Neodiprion lecontei: one gene and its partners. The protein of the gene in region 1 binds, or shares a complex with, the protein of each later gene. Links are inferred from orthologs where the notes say so. Each region holds a gene or a part of one and is shown on either strand. Other genes may lie near its edges.

Evidence for each region.
Region 2: mediator of RNA polymerase II transcription subunit 31 (region 1) and mediator of RNA polymerase II transcription subunit 7 share a complex: the UniProt entries of both Drosophila melanogaster proteins name them as parts of the mediator complex. The link is inferred for Neodiprion lecontei from reciprocal best matches to the Drosophila melanogaster genes MED31 and MED7.
Region 3: mediator of RNA polymerase II transcription subunit 31 (region 1) and mediator of RNA polymerase II transcription subunit 9 share a complex: the UniProt entries of both Drosophila melanogaster proteins name them as parts of the mediator complex. The link is inferred for Neodiprion lecontei from reciprocal best matches to the Drosophila melanogaster genes MED31 and MED9.
Region 4: mediator of RNA polymerase II transcription subunit 31 (region 1) and mediator of RNA polymerase II transcription subunit 20 share a complex: the UniProt entries of both Drosophila melanogaster proteins name them as parts of the mediator complex. The link is inferred for Neodiprion lecontei from reciprocal best matches to the Drosophila melanogaster genes MED31 and MED20.

Annotation. Positions count from the first base shown.
Region 1 is NC_060262.1:33,293,895-33,298,919, reverse strand, and holds mediator of RNA polymerase II transcription subunit 31, read left to right. Parts: upstream 1-1,656; 5' UTR 1,657-1,819; coding exon 1,820-1,886; intron 1,887-2,112; coding exon 2,113-2,202; intron 2,203-3,989; coding exon 3,990-4,303; 3' UTR 4,304-4,463; downstream 4,464-5,025. UniProt on the Drosophila melanogaster protein: Component of the Mediator complex, a coactivator involved in the regulated transcription of nearly all RNA polymerase II-dependent genes.
Region 2 is NC_060265.1:6,396,610-6,400,707, forward strand, and holds mediator of RNA polymerase II transcription subunit 7, read right to left. Parts: upstream 2,525-4,098; 5' UTR 2,126-2,524; intron 2,010-2,125; 5' UTR 1,965-2,009; coding exon 1,635-1,964; intron 1,540-1,634; coding exon 1,387-1,539; intron 1,296-1,386; coding exon 1,095-1,295; 3' UTR 536-1,094; downstream 1-535. Other genes in the region: tyrosine-protein kinase Btk29A, read left to right, coding at 3,740-3,910. UniProt on the Drosophila melanogaster protein: Component of the Mediator complex, a coactivator involved in the regulated transcription of nearly all RNA polymerase II-dependent genes.
Region 3 is NC_060264.1:6,104,891-6,108,497, forward strand, and holds mediator of RNA polymerase II transcription subunit 9, read right to left. Parts: upstream 1,711-3,607; 5' UTR 1,517-1,710; coding exon 1,410-1,516; intron 1,035-1,409; coding exon 929-1,034; intron 844-928; coding exon 703-843; 3' UTR 556-702; downstream 1-555. Other genes in the region: protein YIPF3-like, read right to left, coding at 1-287; 60S ribosomal protein L10, read left to right, coding at 2,048-2,070, 2,591-2,896, 2,993-3,323. UniProt on the Drosophila melanogaster protein: Component of the Mediator complex, a coactivator involved in the regulated transcription of nearly all RNA polymerase II-dependent genes.
Region 4 is NC_060260.1:35,737,315-35,741,959, forward strand, and holds the start of mediator of RNA polymerase II transcription subunit 20, read right to left. Parts: upstream 3,056-4,645; 5' UTR 2,904-3,055; coding exon 2,890-2,903; intron 2,573-2,889; coding exon 2,430-2,572; intron 1-2,429. UniProt on the Drosophila melanogaster protein: Component of the Mediator complex, a coactivator involved in the regulated transcription of nearly all RNA polymerase II-dependent genes.

The DNA of each region.
Region 1 (5,025 bases):
ACAATTGCGTAACAAATGACAGCTACATTTAATGTTCAACCAACTATGTAGCATAAATGGGTGAATACTCTTTGTTATTTGTTGTGAAAAAATGATACGTACATGACTACGGACATTGAAATTGTCAGACCAAAAGAGTGTAGTGTGAAAAAGTGCAAAGCTCATGATTAGCTGTTGACTAGAGCCTGATTCGGCGGTGACTCCAGTGCAGCGAGGATCAGCTGATAGGTAAGCTGCACGTGCAGTTTTTGACTCAATGCCATGCTCGTTACCGAAGTGGTTTAACGCTGGCACAGTAATGGTCCATTTCTTTTTTCTCTACTGAATGACATGATGGCATTAAAGAAACGATAATGTCATTTGCCAGAATTTTACCATTTCTATTGAAACATAGATGAAATGATAGACTTATGTAACCGTCAACACTTTTCATTCGATTATGCTGTCTATTGAAAATACTGGGGATGTTAAATGTTCTGGCAATTTACTCGTTAACTTCAATTTGTGAATTAGAACAGGTCTGGTACTTGTTGCAATGTAGGATTGCCCCGACCTTTCCCCGCGCCAATACCAACAATAAGTTGGGGCTAAAGCCCTCAAATCAGTGATTAAGGAGAAATAATTATATTGGCAATGGTAATGACTAAAGCAATTGAATGACGGGAAACAGTTTGAAACCCCTAAGTTTCACGTTTCTGTAAAATAGCTGCCATTACACGAATGAGGACCATATACTGTTGACTCTGCAATTTCATGAAGTATTGAGACACTCTGCAGTGTTCTGGAAGATATTGCTCTCAAGAGAACTCAGAAAAGAATACATAAAGTGCATGATACTTACCTATCTTTCTTTCTCACGTAGACTAGAGGCATGTAAGGACCGCTAACCTTTATAGGATCAGGGTATGGCAGCGTTGTACAAAAATTTGACTTAACTTACGTTCCTGAGCTGTCTGTCGATATTTTATACACATTTGGATAGCAAAAATAGAAAACCATACTTGAACGTACAAGATCATATAAATTTTCAGTAAAATGCTGACGCTTAAATAGCGTCTCCTATATATCTTATCGAAGTCTATATGAAATTTTCAGCACTGTTATAATTCCATCGAAATGATTCTGTAAGCGGAGAAATTGTGCATTATGTGTGAACTTTTTGGGTGTTCATAGCTGAATACATTATACAAATTTTTTTTACTGTTGTGGCTATATCATAATTTATGTTGATATAGTTATAAATTCATCAATCGATGGTCATATAGTGTACATACATTTACTCCAAGATATATACAGCTCTCAGATAACTAGCCAGTTAATTACTTGGCAATCCAACATACCGTTTGTGTATTTCATTTTTCGTTTATGGATTGGTTTTTTTATTAGCAATTGTCGTGAATTTTTAAATGATCGAAGACCTTTTTATTTTGAATTTAATAAACATTTAACATGTATTACCAAAATTTTATCGCACTTTTTGCGCGTGGACTTGATGCTTGATTGTTCTTAGTTGAAGACGAGCGTTACAGTTTTGCGCCTCGTATACGTTCTCAAACCCACGCACTCCGCGACCAATTGTCCCGATTTGCGTTCCGAAATCTGCGGTATGCGTGCGCAACTTTCCCGCCAACTTAACGCGTGCGCGTGGCTCTCGAAGCATCAGACCTTGCATCAGACTTCGCATGGCGTCATGAAACCGCTGCGAGTTTGTTGATCTTCGGAGTTACTTTGAGGATCGTATTGTTTATCAAAGTTGGAATAAGTGAGTGCCTAGTCATCAAGAGACGAAAAATATTCGAACATCAAGAATTCGTGTAATATGAATCGCTTGGACGATCTCCCAGGCCTAACTAAGGGAAGGAAAACATCTTACATCGGGATGAACGGTAGGTAGATTGAAAAATATGTAAATAAAAATGACAGACGATACGATTTTGACGTTTATTGAAGATAAAAATATCCCGCGACAAGTGATCGTATTAGCAAGGTATTCATCGGTTCGTGATTAAGCGTAAATTCTCACATAGCTATAGATCAAAAAAATTATTACGAATAACATAAACATAGTACCTTTATCGTCTAACCTCATTCGAGTGTTTTTATTTATCTCAGGTGGGCCAGAAACCGATGACCAACAGCGACTTCGCTTTCAGGTTGAGTTGGAATTTGTCCAATGTCTCGCTAATCCAAACTATCTAAATTGTAAGTTTTTAACTTCGTATCTCCATTGTACTTTTCAGCTGTTGACCTTAGGTCATTGACATTACTCCCCAGTTGTAAATATGTATGTTGATGATGGAAAAATTAATGATATACTAAGAATGTGTTAGAAGGAGTTATCGTTAGGTAAATATTTTATTTTAGATCCTCGTTTTATGTTAAACTTGAAGTCATCGTCGATTCAACGGAACTCCTAGTTACATAAATTCAATCGATACTGACGTCATTCTGGAAATACTTTGAATTATTAAATCAATATTCGTTTCATGTTCTTCAACTATTTGCATCAATACGCACCACATATTTCCAAAATTCAAAGTTCATCTTCCTCGTAACTCAAATTGATCCAAGTCGCAAAAGATTCACAATTTAGAACACAGCCAGATCCTTTAGTAAAGGAAAGTTGCCTAACGTGGGCAGGGTTCTTTATTTAGAATGACTTGTTACCTGGGCAATTAAGTAGGTCATGCTATTGTTGATTAGTGCAACTACGCGACACTCAGTGCTGAATATCAGTGCTATGTCAATGATTGTTAGTAAGCAGAACTTCAATGATAATTTAACGTTTTGTCCTGAAATATCTGTCCCACTTTTGATTAGTGTATACCTGTAATTCATATAATGGGCGGGGTTTGTTTTTCATCATCAAAAGTCCGCACTTAAACACCATCGTTCGTTTTGAAAATCATTTATTAATTTTGACAGAAGATACAAATTGTACTGGTAAAATAGAAATCGCCTAGATATTACCAGTCAGATGTTAATTTCGAAAATAAAATGGTTGGGTAGTGGAAAAGTCTCGTTACACCGAAATGTAAGCGAATTTTTTGATCTGAGGAAACGTGTATCGCAAGTGTAGGATATAATAACTACGTAAAACATTCTATGGCAATTTGACGATTTAATTTAAAATTTATCAATTCTTTTTATAAGCGCATTATACAGAAGAAGAGAGTTGTTTGTGAATTTTCCCAGAAGTTTTAGCAAGTTGAAGAGGTGAAATCGATCTGTAATTTCTTGTGATAGAGAAATGAGAACAAGACTATCTACTGAAGTTCTGCCTAGTACTGGCCGACTCTTCAATGGAACTGCTATACCAGTGCCGAAGTTCTCACCTTTCTTCAGGATCCCATATTCAATTGGGCAACTTCCTACACATCATAAAATTGCTATAGAACGTTTTATTTATTTGTAGTAGTTATTTATCACAGGTCTGCTCCTATCATTCCATCTTCAAAAATGGGTAGCGTAGCTTTTCACTGGATTCTGTCTGTCAGCGCTGTATCATAATTCACGTTATGAATTATTTAGTTCTGAAATTCAATCTCTCTGCAAGATTCAATTAATCTGGCACAAAGATTCCAAGTGATTGAGGAGGAAAATCATCTGATAAACTGAAACAATCAAATTATTTTATTCATATCCGTCGGTTGTATAGTTTTCTGAAATTGATGTGGTGTTTTTTTGTAACACCAAAATTTCTACTCCTATTAGAATACTCTTCTCTAGTATTTAAGAAACTAGATTCAAAACGAACAATTCGTGAAAGATGCAGTTTTTGAGAAATTAGCCTTATCACAGAAAATATCTGGAAACTAGAGACTGAGTAGCTGTTGGAATGTGTTGGATGCGAAATTGGACAGTAACGGAACACTGAAAAATATTCATAAAGGATTAGCGGAGACAACAGACTTGAAGACATCTACTTTCAAGATGTATAAACCCTTCGCTGTATACTTTGATTATAATTCATTACTGTTTTGGCACAGTTCTGGGCCAGCGAGGATATTTCAAAGATTCCACCTTCATCAATTACCTGAAGTATCTACTTTACTGGAAGGAGCCAGAATATGCTAAATACTTGAAGTACCCGATGTGCCTCTATTTTCTGGACTTACTGCAGTATGAGCATTTCCGACGTGAAGTCGTAAACGCTCAGTGCACAAAATTCATCGATGATCAGCAAATATTGCTATGGCAGCATTACACCAGACGCAGAACAAGGTTACTGCAAACAGCAGCAGAGCAAACACAGCCCAATAATGCGCAAAACAACGGTATGGTGCAGCCAAAAGTACCGTAGAGACTGTAAAAAAACTTGTTAATAATCTTAGGTGTTAAAACACATTGTTAATAATATTTAACAACTTCAACTGTACATTTTGTTCCTTTCTTTTCATCCGTATTATTCGTAATGTAATGAATACTTGTTTAAATTTAAATAAAGACTTCTTTTATACTTGTCTCGAGGATTATATCTTCATTCATAATCAGAATTCTACCAATGAACTAGCTAATCAGGCTAGCTTTTGATCAACAGAGAATTTAAGTACTTCCATTGCTCAAGGCTTACATTAAAGAATGCTTAGAAAAAAAAGGTTGCCACACAAATATCAAATTTTATGAGGCTCTTTAGTTCGTCATTTCATAAAACCTTGAATGATTGGCGGTAGCTGAATAGTTTTCCTATGCATTTGTTAAAAAGTGTAATTTCACAAATTTTTCACATCCTTCTAGCTTGACACACGTCCGCTTTATTTCGAACAGTTTTTCAGATGTATATATACACAACAACGTTTTTTCAAAACATGAAACCCTGCTGAATTGTGGAACAGAGTAATAAATTTTGCAAAGTACTTTTGGATTATAAAAAGTACATTTACGCTGAAAATTGTCCACACAAATACTCCACTTCTGCATTAATCTTACACGGTGTAAATATGATGCACTTCGAAAAAAGATACCTATACTACTCGATTACGTGACGATAATTTACCTACAATTATTAAATAGCGCTAAATACTT
Region 2 (4,098 bases), on another chromosome or scaffold:
TGTTGTGGAGTTTATTACCAGGAGAAGTGTATTTTTAACGTAAAATGTACTGGAAATATAAGATAAATCAAACGTGCAATAGATATATTTCAAAGAATTGTGACGCGTTAGGAATTTCGAGAAATGATTATACATGAATGTTCCTTACTTTTAAAAAACAGTTCCAGGTATTTATGAGATGCAGAAAGGTTTTTAACACTTTTTTTTTACAAATCGTTACATAATAAATGTTTCGAAATACTTTGTCCCCATGTCTCGATCAAGTATTTCTTTGAGTATCGTTATCTACTAATTTATATCAACTGATTCATTACATAGCATTATGAAACCGTTCAAGAACGTGGGGCTGTTCGGCTCAAAATTGTTTTGAACTGTCCCGTTTTTCTACACTCAGCTACAGGTTTCCATGTTACGTTTAGCGCTGTGAATCTATGTCATCATTCAGATGAAATCTACCTTGATTAATGATCAATAATTCATCTTATTGTTATGACATCCCTAATAATAGTATTTCTAGGAGATATTTTTTCACAACTTCGTACTGAAATTCATTTTTATTCACTTCTTTGGAGAATACGTAGTTCCATTTTAATCCTTCATTTCTTAATAATGATTACTGGACTATTTCCAAGTCAGTCAAATATACAAATGATAAGTACAGTAAATCGCAGAGCCATGCGCCCGTATTCAGAGTATTTTAATTTTAATCGCTGTCCAGCACAGTAATAAATAATATTTAAAATATTAATTATATTATGTATAAAACGATATGCAGTAATAATCATTGTAGAAACTCACACGCGTCTAGACAAATTCACTAATAATTGTTCCTTATATCTAAGCTCACTATAAACCAGTTTTTCAACAGCGTTGAAGTATAAAAATTATTTCATTCAACCAAGGTAGCAAGATGCAATTCAAGCCAGCATGTTTATTTTTACTTTCGTAATTTTACGTGACGAAAACTAAAAATTCAAGAATTAGAGGTACTGAAAACTCTTTTTAATTGCTGTTAAACAGTGTTTCTGACGCTGTTTTCAATAAATAAAACAGTTTTTATTTTATTGTTGGGATGAATTTTTGCTGATCCAGAATCAGTAAAGATTATTCGATGTGGTCATTTCGTCGATAATATTGCACATCATTCGGTCCCTTGGACAACACGGATCTGTAGCTTGTTGCTCTAGTCCCAAAGTATCCATAACTTCCATCGTATCTGTACTGACAGCAAGGCTTGAATCTAGCTCCGAGGTGTCAGGCAGCATCTGCAATGCATGCTGCAATATTTCCTGCACCTAGAGAGAAAGAATTGAAAGAAATTTTAGTCAGTGATATTAGAAGAAACCAAATGTGATGAAAGATAAACCAATGACACGTATAGCATACTTTGTCTAAATGTTTTTGAAATCGCAGAGTGGTTTCTGTCCGCTGTCTACGCTGGAGCTCCATCATAACACGAAGAGTTTCTCTAGCCTGATGCGGCCTAAACTCATTAAGCAAGTGGTGAATATGGATGAACAAAAGGCTCAAGTCCTCGACCTGAAAATACGTCAGGAAAAACCATGAGATTCTTTATTACCGTCAATAACTCCTGGTGTTAAATGTCTCAAGTATGAAGAAAATCAAGGACACACCTTCTCCGCTCTCCTCGGACTGTCGGGACACTGTACCAGCAGATCTATAAGGTCTAAAAAATTGACCAGAAGAGAGTGATTGAGTTTCTTGAGCTCACGACGCCGGTCAAAATGCTGGGGATAAAGCCTCTTGATCCCCTGCGCTTCCAGCGGCCTTATGATGGTGTCGTCGGCGTTGAACATGTTCCCGAACATGGAATAGTTCTCATGATTAGCCGGGGGAGGACGGGGAGCTCTTCCTCTACGCACGTTCTCATCGGTGTACAAGTTGATGTACTGAGTAGGCGGCATGGGCAGCGAGCTGACCTGCGTCGCTTCCGGAGTCGCCATGGTTTAATAAAATAATATCAACGGCGTAGTCGTAAGATTTTATTCCTGTAAAAGAAAAGAGAAGGAACTGAAACGAGTCAGAGGAATTTAAACGTCAGATGAAAAAAAGATGGGTCATGTTAGGCTAGGTTATAACCACGATATCAGCCTCGGTTTAACACCATCAATCGGAGGGTGAAGATAGGCGAGGTGGATCTACTCACGCCATGAAATACGAGTAAAGCAGTGGAAGGCTCGTCGACGAGGCAGTCACTGTGTTTTCAGCGTCTAACAACGCGAGTCGTCACAGCAGAGGAAAAAACAAAAGCAGCGCGGCGGTTAGTGTTCGCCATTTTGTTTTGTTTACATGCCTGCGTAGCGCCGAACATGGAAGATGCCTGGGAATGTTAAATGTTTACGCTTTTTCAAAGTTCATCCAGTTACCTACACAGCGACGTTATTCGACCGTCGGAAAAGCGTCGCTTGCCTCTCGGTGTCGCGGTTGAAACAACTCGGGATTAAATCGCGCTGCCCGAATGTCGAAGTGTAAAATATTCAGACAAGTGGATAAGTGACCAATACAAAACAGTTGAACATCGATGTGTCTCATGACTAACGCCGTAGCGCATTTCCTGTTATCTCGTGAATTTCCGACCGTCTTGCCTAGCCGTCGCTTCGCCCGCGACCGTTTGACAGGTTACCTCCCCCCTCTCCGTACCGCCCGCCGCTAAGCCTCTCTCTGTGTTCCTTTGCATCCACGTGAATTTTTTTTTTCGCATTATACCCCTAACCGAATCCGGCGGGCAGCCACGTTCTCGAGACCGATGCATCGTCTGGCTGTGTGACAAACCGGTGCTGTGAATGGTAAGAGTACTGTGTTGACTACCGATAGTCTTTATTTTATTGTTACACGGTTTCCCGGCTATTTCGACGTCGGCCGAGGCGATTCCGAGGAACTCGGCACCCAAAACGTCAGTATTTTATAACCGCAAATTCCGTGCGCCTTTCCCTATCGCCTATTTTCGAACTGAGCTTCGGTTTCGTTATCAGTACCGTACCCGGTTTAGCTACGCGATGTTCTCGACGCTTTTATACTTTTACTCTATTCCTATTATCGTTCGTAAACCGACTGCATTGTAAAATAATCGCCTCGATTGTTGTACCTGAGCAATTGATGGAATGCAGTGTTTGTAAACAACGAAAAATGAGCCATGCATCGACCATCTCGAAACGGTTTCCTGTTCACAATTTACACACATATTCGATATCAGTTTTACTCCTCTCTTTTATCTGATGGCGTGCCAACAGTTGGTCTCTGTTCATCTTTTCCCTACTTCCCTGTCATCAGCTGTTCAAATTTGTTGAATCCACCATCCGTCAAACACACATTCTTCTTTCAATCAGCTCTCATCCGCCATTCTATTCTCTTCTATTCAACTTCTCGCTATCTTCTTTGTCTTCATATTTTCTCTTCTTCTTTCTTACGCTGTGAACCGAACTACCGAAACTTGTACTCTGCGAATCGGATTTTCTCTTTGTTTCTCCCTTTCTCGACAAGAAGCTCCAACTTTTCTTACTTTCAGATCAACAGATATGTCTAGTAATATTTGAAACACACTGTAGCTATCGCTGGACTGTGATAAATGTCGCAATACTATTTAAATTTTCTTTATAACGCCCAGAATAAGCTTGAAAGAAAAAGAAGTAATATAACGATTACAAAATATCGTCCACTTTCTCAAAAATACATTTCATTAATTTGATGTTTTGCATTTTACAGGGTTTTCTTTTCAGGGATGACGGGGAAGGATGGGAAGGCGGAGGCTAAAGGCGTGGATGGTGTTGTTAAGACAGGATTTATGACAAAGCGCTCTCAAAACAAGAAACGATTTACGCCGATCAACTACAAGCAGCGATGGTTCGTCCTCACCAGGCAATACCTTATATACTATGACAGCGACAGCGAGGTAAGCGAGACGAATCACTTGTTGACACATTTCTTTGATAGATTTCGAGTCGACAGGTCACGCCTGAAATTTCATTACACGACGCGTATTTACATGGCAATTGCTCAGCTGTTGAACAAAATATTATTATTTCTGATCTTCATTCTGTGATCGAATTTGACCAGGTTTCCATTCGCAGGTGCTTGTTA
Region 3 (3,607 bases), on another chromosome or scaffold:
ACAGGAGCCATAGTTAAATCTGTAGCCGACGGCTCTTTAATCCTATATCCGTAATTTAGAATTGCAATTAAAATTAAGACTGCTAGGAGGGGTCCTACTAGATCTATATTTTCAATTCTAAATTTCTTGTTACAAGGAGGTCCGAGGGAAGCTATAATCCGTCTTCCAATATCGTAGGGTGTAACTTTCATATAACGATTGACAAACGAAACATGGCCATCAACTTTAACGCAATATTGTTTGGAATCTGTAGGCACCAATATAACGGCTGATCCTTTGTACGCCATGGTAAACCAATGGGAAATATTAAGCTATTAAATCTAATTCACAATTCAGAAAAAAAAAAAACTGATTCATCGAAGTCTTTGAGATGGATAACTAATCGCAGGAGAGTAATTTGGTTACGTTAGAATATATGTTATTTAGATTGTTTCTTTTCCTGATCCTTCTTAGCGTCTGCAATTCCTTCTTTGAGATTAGATGAGAAACGCGATAATAAACTTGCCCATTGCTTGCCAAGCTCCTGTGGACTGGATGGTATACCGTGCTGGGAAGAACGTTGCATAAAATAAACAACCAGCTGAGCAGCTCGTCTTATAGGTTTTGAATCTGCTAATTTGTTGATGAGCTGTTCGTTGTTGGCCAAGTATCGCATAAGAAAACGCAGAACCATAATGAATTATAGTATGAAAGTCTAATTATTTATACTTTGGGTACGTCGAATGTACACATATTACGATACTTGAGTAGTAGTTCTCGCTTCAACTTGAGCTGCCTGCGAAGTGTTTCTAGCTTCTGTAATTGCTCCTCTTTGCTATATTCTATCCCAGGCAATTTTTTTATCTAAAAGCAATGGGTTTCAGTTTATTAAATTACAGAGAACGAATATTTAGTCATGCTAAGCATGATTATCGTCGAGTATACACACCTGTGATCGTGCAGAGTCCAATTTTTTTTGTAAATCTAGTATTTTGTGACTCGTATCCTGAGAGTCCTTAGCTTTTTGGGTGTTGTCATGAGGATCTTTTTCCACGCTATGTGGAACAAATCAAAATTTTGTTGCATTACATAACTAGTTTGATGAGACAAATTAGCTGTACATTTAATAAGGTAAATTCTTGTTCATACGTAATCCTGTAAAACTCCAACGTCACGATCTAATGTTCGCAGAGCAAGTGAATAAAATTAGAATATCAATTTGAGAAATTGAGCAATCATGTACCTTGTGTTAATAATTTTGATACGCAATCATATGAGCTATAAATAATTTGACAAACGTGGCAGACAATGGGGAGTGCTTTCGCAACTTTCTATCTATAATAACTTGAAAAAATGGAGTACTATTTTTGGCATGTCAATTTCAAAGGGTATTGCTAGTGTTAACAAGAAAATAAATTAAACCCACATACCTTCGGATTATTTCGTAAACAAGCGGTAGAATTTCTATGTCTAGATCGTCGACTGTGAACTGACTTCGAGCAGGCGCTTCCTCTGCTATCTCAACAACTTCCATCATATTTTCACCGCAATTTTTTTCGGCATCTTCTGCTTTTTCGACACTAATTTTTTCTTCTTTCGTAGACAGTTTAAATGAATTTATCTACACACGTTCTTTATCACGCGAACTGGTCGTTCAAAGCATTTAGCACACCACGAAGGTTTGACAAAATTTTACGGTACTGTCAGAAACAGAAGCCGGAAAAATCAAGTTTTGTAGATGGAGCGATGGCAAGGAGCTTAACATCTAGCTTGTAAAGTTAGACATAGAATGGACGTAATCGTTAGTATAGTCTATGGTGTTGCACCGCGAATGCCGGAAGTAGCTCCTGGACATTTGACCAGAAAATTGATTTCCGTCACTTTCATTTGGGCTATCAAGGGTAGTAGGTATGTATCGCGAATGCTGTTTTATATCTCTGATAATCCGAGGAATCCTACACAACGGCAATTAATTAGTCTTACTGAACGAAATTAGGTTAATTTACCAATTGTTAAGAGTGATAGTTTTTTCGATAAATAATTGTGGTGTTTATATTTTCAGTCCAAAATGGGACGCCGGCCAGCGAGGTGGTAAGTCGTCATGACTCGCATTTTCTAATTTAGGAAAAAAAGAAATAATCGAAAAGAGAAATAATTGTGGTACCTTTATTCCTGACCAACGATTGCTTTAATTGACTCGAGCTACGAATTAATCCGAGGCTCTAACAAAATTCCCTTTTTTGTGTCAACGCAGGTGTATGCCAAGCTTCGAAGTGCACTGTTCTGTATTTAACCCATTACTGCCGCTTCATTTACTCACTTATTTTGAAGTTCTCTGTAATTGTCGCGAAAATTTTGCTAATTAGAATTGCAGTTCCAGACCATTAGTCAACTGTAGAGAATTTTGTGGAACTGAAAGTTCGACATGATGGTAACGTAACCTCGTTAACACTGGTGTCTAACCTGTTTCGCAATATGTATCATTTAATTTATAATTTATACAATCAGATGTCATTGTTGCAATACGCTTTGAGATAAAGGTTTGGGAATCTAAGTGCTGTGTAAATATGTTATAAATCAAATACTGATGAGAATTTTTGTTTAATTACAGTTATCGCTACTGCAAGAACAAACCATATCCTAAGTCTCGTTTCTGTCGGGGTGTCCCTGACCCAAAGATTCGTATCTTTGACTTGGGAAAGAAGAAGGCATGTGTCGAAGACTTTCCACTCTGCGTTCATTTGGTTTCTGACGAATATGAACAGCTTAGCTCAGAAGCTCTAGAAGCAGGTCGTATTTGCTGCAACAAATACATGGTCAAAAATGCTGGCAAAGATCAGTTCCACATTAGGATGCGACTCCACCCTTTCCACGTCATTCGCATCAACAAAATGTTGTCATGCGCTGGAGCTGATAGGTAAATTACGTGAACAATAGTAACTCATTTATCCAACAACGGAATATTATCTACTTAGATGGAAAATTAATGCTACAAATTTGTTCAACTATCTAGGCTCCAAACTGGGATGAGAGGAGCCTTTGGTAAGCCTCAAGGTACTGTTGCTCGTGTCCGAATCGGGCAGCCGATCATGAGTGTGCGCTCATCGGACCGTCACAAGGCGGTAGTTATCGAGGCTCTACGGCGTGCCAAGTTCAAGTTCCCTGGTCGTCAAAAGATCTACGTTTCTAAGAAGTGGGGATTTACCAAGTACGAACGTGCCGAATACGAAGATCTGAAGGTAGCTGGTCGTCTTGCCCAAGATGGTTGCAATGTCAAATATCTTCCAGAGCACGGACCCCTAGACGCGTGGAAGAAGTTCAGAGAAAGCCTGGCCAGTGCCTAATCTGAGCCAAACACTTCTGTAAATGTGGTCTCAATAAATTTTATTCCGACTAATTAAAATTGTGCGTCTTTTACTATTATACCTCGTTATGTTGCAGGAAGATGCATGCTATAAGTTCAGTATCAATTCCAGATCTTTTTTTGCCAATTTACCATTTCCATGGTGAATATTACAAAGTTCGCTTTTATAATAGATCCATTGTTACAGGTATGAGTATTCTACAGATGTAGCAGATGATCATCTGTTCGGAGTTCATAATAAAATAGGTATAATGTGAAAAGGAT
Region 4 (4,645 bases), on another chromosome or scaffold:
TGAAATTTTGTATTTTTATATAGTTGATAGTAAAAGTAATCACGGGCTAACTAGCTTATTACTTGTATAATTAATAACGTATAGCGGTACTGCAACAAGAGCCACGATGATTCTGATACGTGAAATTATCGCGTCTCGTTATTGCAGTATGTATAATATATTTTTTTCTGAATCCGTGAATCATATCCCTGCCATATCTGAATACTTGATTGATAAAATTAAGTAGCGTTTTCGAATCCGTATGTACGAAGCTATAGAAAAAGAGCAAGAAAAATGTACTTAAGATGTGTAGCGATAGGGCAATATCTATACGGTGTAGATCTCTGCAATCAATAATACAAATAATTTCAACAAATTTTTCTTTCAAACACGAAAATATTGTTCATACTCGAAGAATGATAATTGTAAAACTATTAAAATCTCGCTCAATAATTCTCACGAAGAAAGTGGAATAAAAAAAAAATATGAAACCGTACGAAGTGAATTATCAAAATTTAAAATTCTTCAAACAATTGCTATCGTAAATTTGAGTTATTTACACTCATATCAAACAATGTATAATTTTTCGAAAACCTTACCGTTCCCGAGGTTCTATGTATAATTTTTATAAAATACTGTTAAATTGGAGAACGCTTTGAAAAAACAACACTGAACCAACATGTTCCAGCAAGACGTTATATTTCCAATAATAATCGAATGAAAAAAAAATGTCCGTAGTTGTATAACTAATAAGTTGACGGGAGGGAAAAAAAAATCTGCAGTATGCACTTCTGTGAATTGAAGATCTATTATTCTTATTATTATCATCTATTATACCCAGTTGACAATATTGAAAATTGTACAAATATCATATACAAGGGTATATTTAAATTATATATTCTGTGCGATAGCGCGTGTGTAATTGTACTTTAAAACTTTAACTAAATCAACCGTCAGATAACGATTGAAGCGTGCCACTTTTTTATCGTAAACAAAAAAACATGAATATTATACGTCAGAGATGCTTGTAGTATTTTACGAATTTCTAACAATCCTTCTATATTGAGATAACGTATATACAATTAAATATAAAATATTACGCGACAATAAAAACTATATATTCAAAAATATATCGTATTATACGTACACACACACACACACACACACACACACATATATATATGATCAATGCTGGCCATGTGAGTAAAAAAATGAATAAAACATTATTAAAATCATAAATTCTATCTATCAAAAAAGAAATATCAAAATGTATTTTCAAAAATGTGCAACGACTTAAGAAAAATCAGATAAATAAAATACTTCTCTAGCTTCGCTTGCTAGATTTAATATTTTTGTAAAAACGCCTAGGATGTAGCCATGTTTCTAATAATATACGCCTATTCGCTAACTAGACAATAATAAAACCAACTGTTGTTAAGCTTAAGAAATTGAATAAGTTGTGCGCGTGATGCGAAAGAGAAAGGGAAAAGAGAAGAAATTTGCTCGTTAGATGTACCAGTAATTAATAGAAGGAAGTATTTGTCTGAATACTGTATCGTATCTTGTATGTATCACGTGTCGCGAAATTCAATCGAAAACAACCGAACGGATTTACGCTGACACTAGAAAAATTCCCAGTGTAATGCTGCCGGGAAGATTTCATGGTACCTGACTGTTGTAAAATATCAAAAACTACACTACGGAAGTCAAGTAAAGGTTGCCATTTACTTGTCAGGCATGTAACGTAGATCATATAAATTCTATGTACGGTAGATCGACGTGAAGATGATGGATAATGCGTAGCACAAATTGAATAATTAAAAAATGAATAGTCCTGCCGAAATAAATATCAGTTTGTTGCTCCAAGCTAAAAAGCTCAATATATCGCAGTACTTAATTAAACTTTGACAGATGCAGGTTAAGAGGAAGAATAATTGCCCATTTTATGTCTGTACCTCTGTAGAAAGTGATGAAAGCGCATATACATATGCCTAATCTAGAGTGTCAAACTAATGCGAAAGAAATTGTATGTTTGTATAGAGATGTGTATACTATGTTGCAGCCAAATAGCAGAAAGTTATTTAAATAGAATAAAGAAGATGAACTAAAAGCGAACGTCAGCCTCTACTTAGTACGGTAAACCTATCTCAATTGCAGGTTCAATAGAACACAACCAGCAATTTAAATTCCCTGGCAAATTCGGATCAATAGATTTGAAGAAATCCCCACGTTTCCCACAGCTGAAAATTCATCAGCAAGAGCTCGTAGTGGCGCCATCTCTACGAAATCACACGAACTACACTGAATTCTAACGGAAAAGGATCCCCTTCTTTTTTAACAATCCTTTTCAAGTTTTCTCCATCAACAATATCAATGTGTTGCTCATGTATGTTTTCCAACGAGTCACTGAACTTCAGGAAAATTTAAAACAAAATCGAACAGCCACTCACCTAACTGAGGCACCGATTGGTAAGTTTCGCAATCGACCAGAAACTGCCCTGTCTGAACAGCTCCGAGGGCGACGACTCGCTTTGTGAGGAATTCGATCGTCTGGGGGCCGGTCCGGTTCTCCGACATGGGAAATTGCTGTAGCCTGAAATATTAGGTTTCACGAAGTTAGAAACATTGCTCAATCAATCTTGAACAAAGAATAATTCGAAGTTAGAAGCTCTGCTAGGACCTCGATTTTGAGATTAAGACGATAAATATAACCGCAATACGATTGCGCGACAGATTGAAGTAGCAGAATATCAAGGTGTGGTACATTTCAACGGCAATAGCCGGTAATCGTAAAAGCCGCATAACCTAAAAACGTTCAACAAACGCGAGGTTGAGGATTATTTGATGCGAAGCATGCCGTGACAAGTGTGACGGCAAACCTGTTTGTGAGGCTATTTACGTGATACTCACACTGTCACACCCATTGTTTCTTTTCTGTCAATAAATAATCAAACTAAAAAAAAGCACTCAAGTCACACACTGATAGAAACGAGACACTTGTTTACCAGAGATGAGTAGGCAACTCTGTGTTTACAATCTAGACTATTCCTGACAGTGACAATGAAGCTCCGCCAGTTCGAAACTCGACGGCTTAGATGGATATTCCTCTGATGCTTCAACGCAGCTATGCAATCCATCGGCTAGATGTCGCTACGTACAGTTTCCGTTTTAGTTTCCCTTGACGTTGACTGAAAATACAGTTCATATGAGTTGATATGAGGACTGCTTTGGGTTCTTGTGTTATTTTTCGAAATGGATTGCCGGATTCAGACGGGTTTGAGGGAAATTCCACTACCTTGCACTTACCGACTCGTCTTATGGGATCTCAATGTAGGATCGTGGCGTTACAGCAGAATACTGCGTAGTTTTCCTTAGCGGCACGCTGAAGTCTATAGCCAATGCCTGCCATTTTTCAGTCATGAAATCATAGCTATAGTCGTTCTGCGGTTTTTGGAAAGCAAGGTCAGAAAGAGCCTGAAGAAGCCTACATTTGCAGTTTTTTCAATCTAATTTTCGAGGTGTCTGGACAGTTTATGCAAGTCGGTTACCGACCGGTATTTTAACGTACCTTGTCTTATTGAAAATTCAGCTTCACCTCATCCTCTCACAAAAATCACGGCAGTTCGACCACCGACCATTTGCATTGCTGCCCGTACCCTTAAATAGTATGAATTGACCGCAGATATTTTATTTTGTATACATATCTATGCAATTTAATGCGTGCCTAAATTCACAAGCTGTACGTTGCTATCTGTAATTCGGTAGGCTTATACAGCGAAGGTAATTGTGCCGATAAATATTGCCGGTTTAATTTTCATTCACCGCGTTGACCGAAGATGTAAAGTCAACGTTCTTTATGGTTTGAAATGGAATAAAATACGAAATAAATAATAATCGATTGAATCCCCGATTTTCTGTACCCTGTTCGTCCAGTCGGTCCAGTCAAAATAATGTAATATCGTTGGATATTAGAAGGTACAGGGTATTTCGACACGCGGTTTTGCTTCAATTGCGAATCTAAATTTTGTTATTTCTCCGAGCACTCGAGTAATCTTAGAGCAGTGTATATGCTCCAAGCAAATGTCACAGAGAACATGTCCAAACCGCGAAATTCGTGAAACGCTTCGCGGCTGCAGAGCGAGCAGTGACAAGGTCCGCAAATAGACGGGCGGACAAGGGAATTAAGTTCTTTGCATGACGAATTTTCCGTAGGAACAGAAACAACGACTGCGTTGTCAAACTGCAGTATAAAACCTACACACTATAGACAAATTGGAATACAAATGGTGACCAGGCAAAGACCGTTCCTTGTCCGCTCGTCTATCTACGGACCTTGGACCTTGACAGATTACAAAACTCACCCCGGGAATCCCCGCGCAAGCTCAGAGAGGTGTCACCACCTGGCGCGGGGTAGGTGAACCAAAACAGTTAGACGCTGGTCCGCGCGGAGCGCGGTGACCAAAATCGAACGATACGAACCGTGCCAAGGGGCCACGAGGTGAACAATCTTCCGAGCTCATCTCGGAATCCCAATCATGTATACATAGAATTGTGAGATTTGTTGAGTCGAACTAGCTGTCAGTGATTTGCAAGGCCTAGGCGTGGATGGGTCGAGTGTGCGAAGTTGGCCTTAACAATCCGAGCATATCAGTGAGTGTGGCGAGGC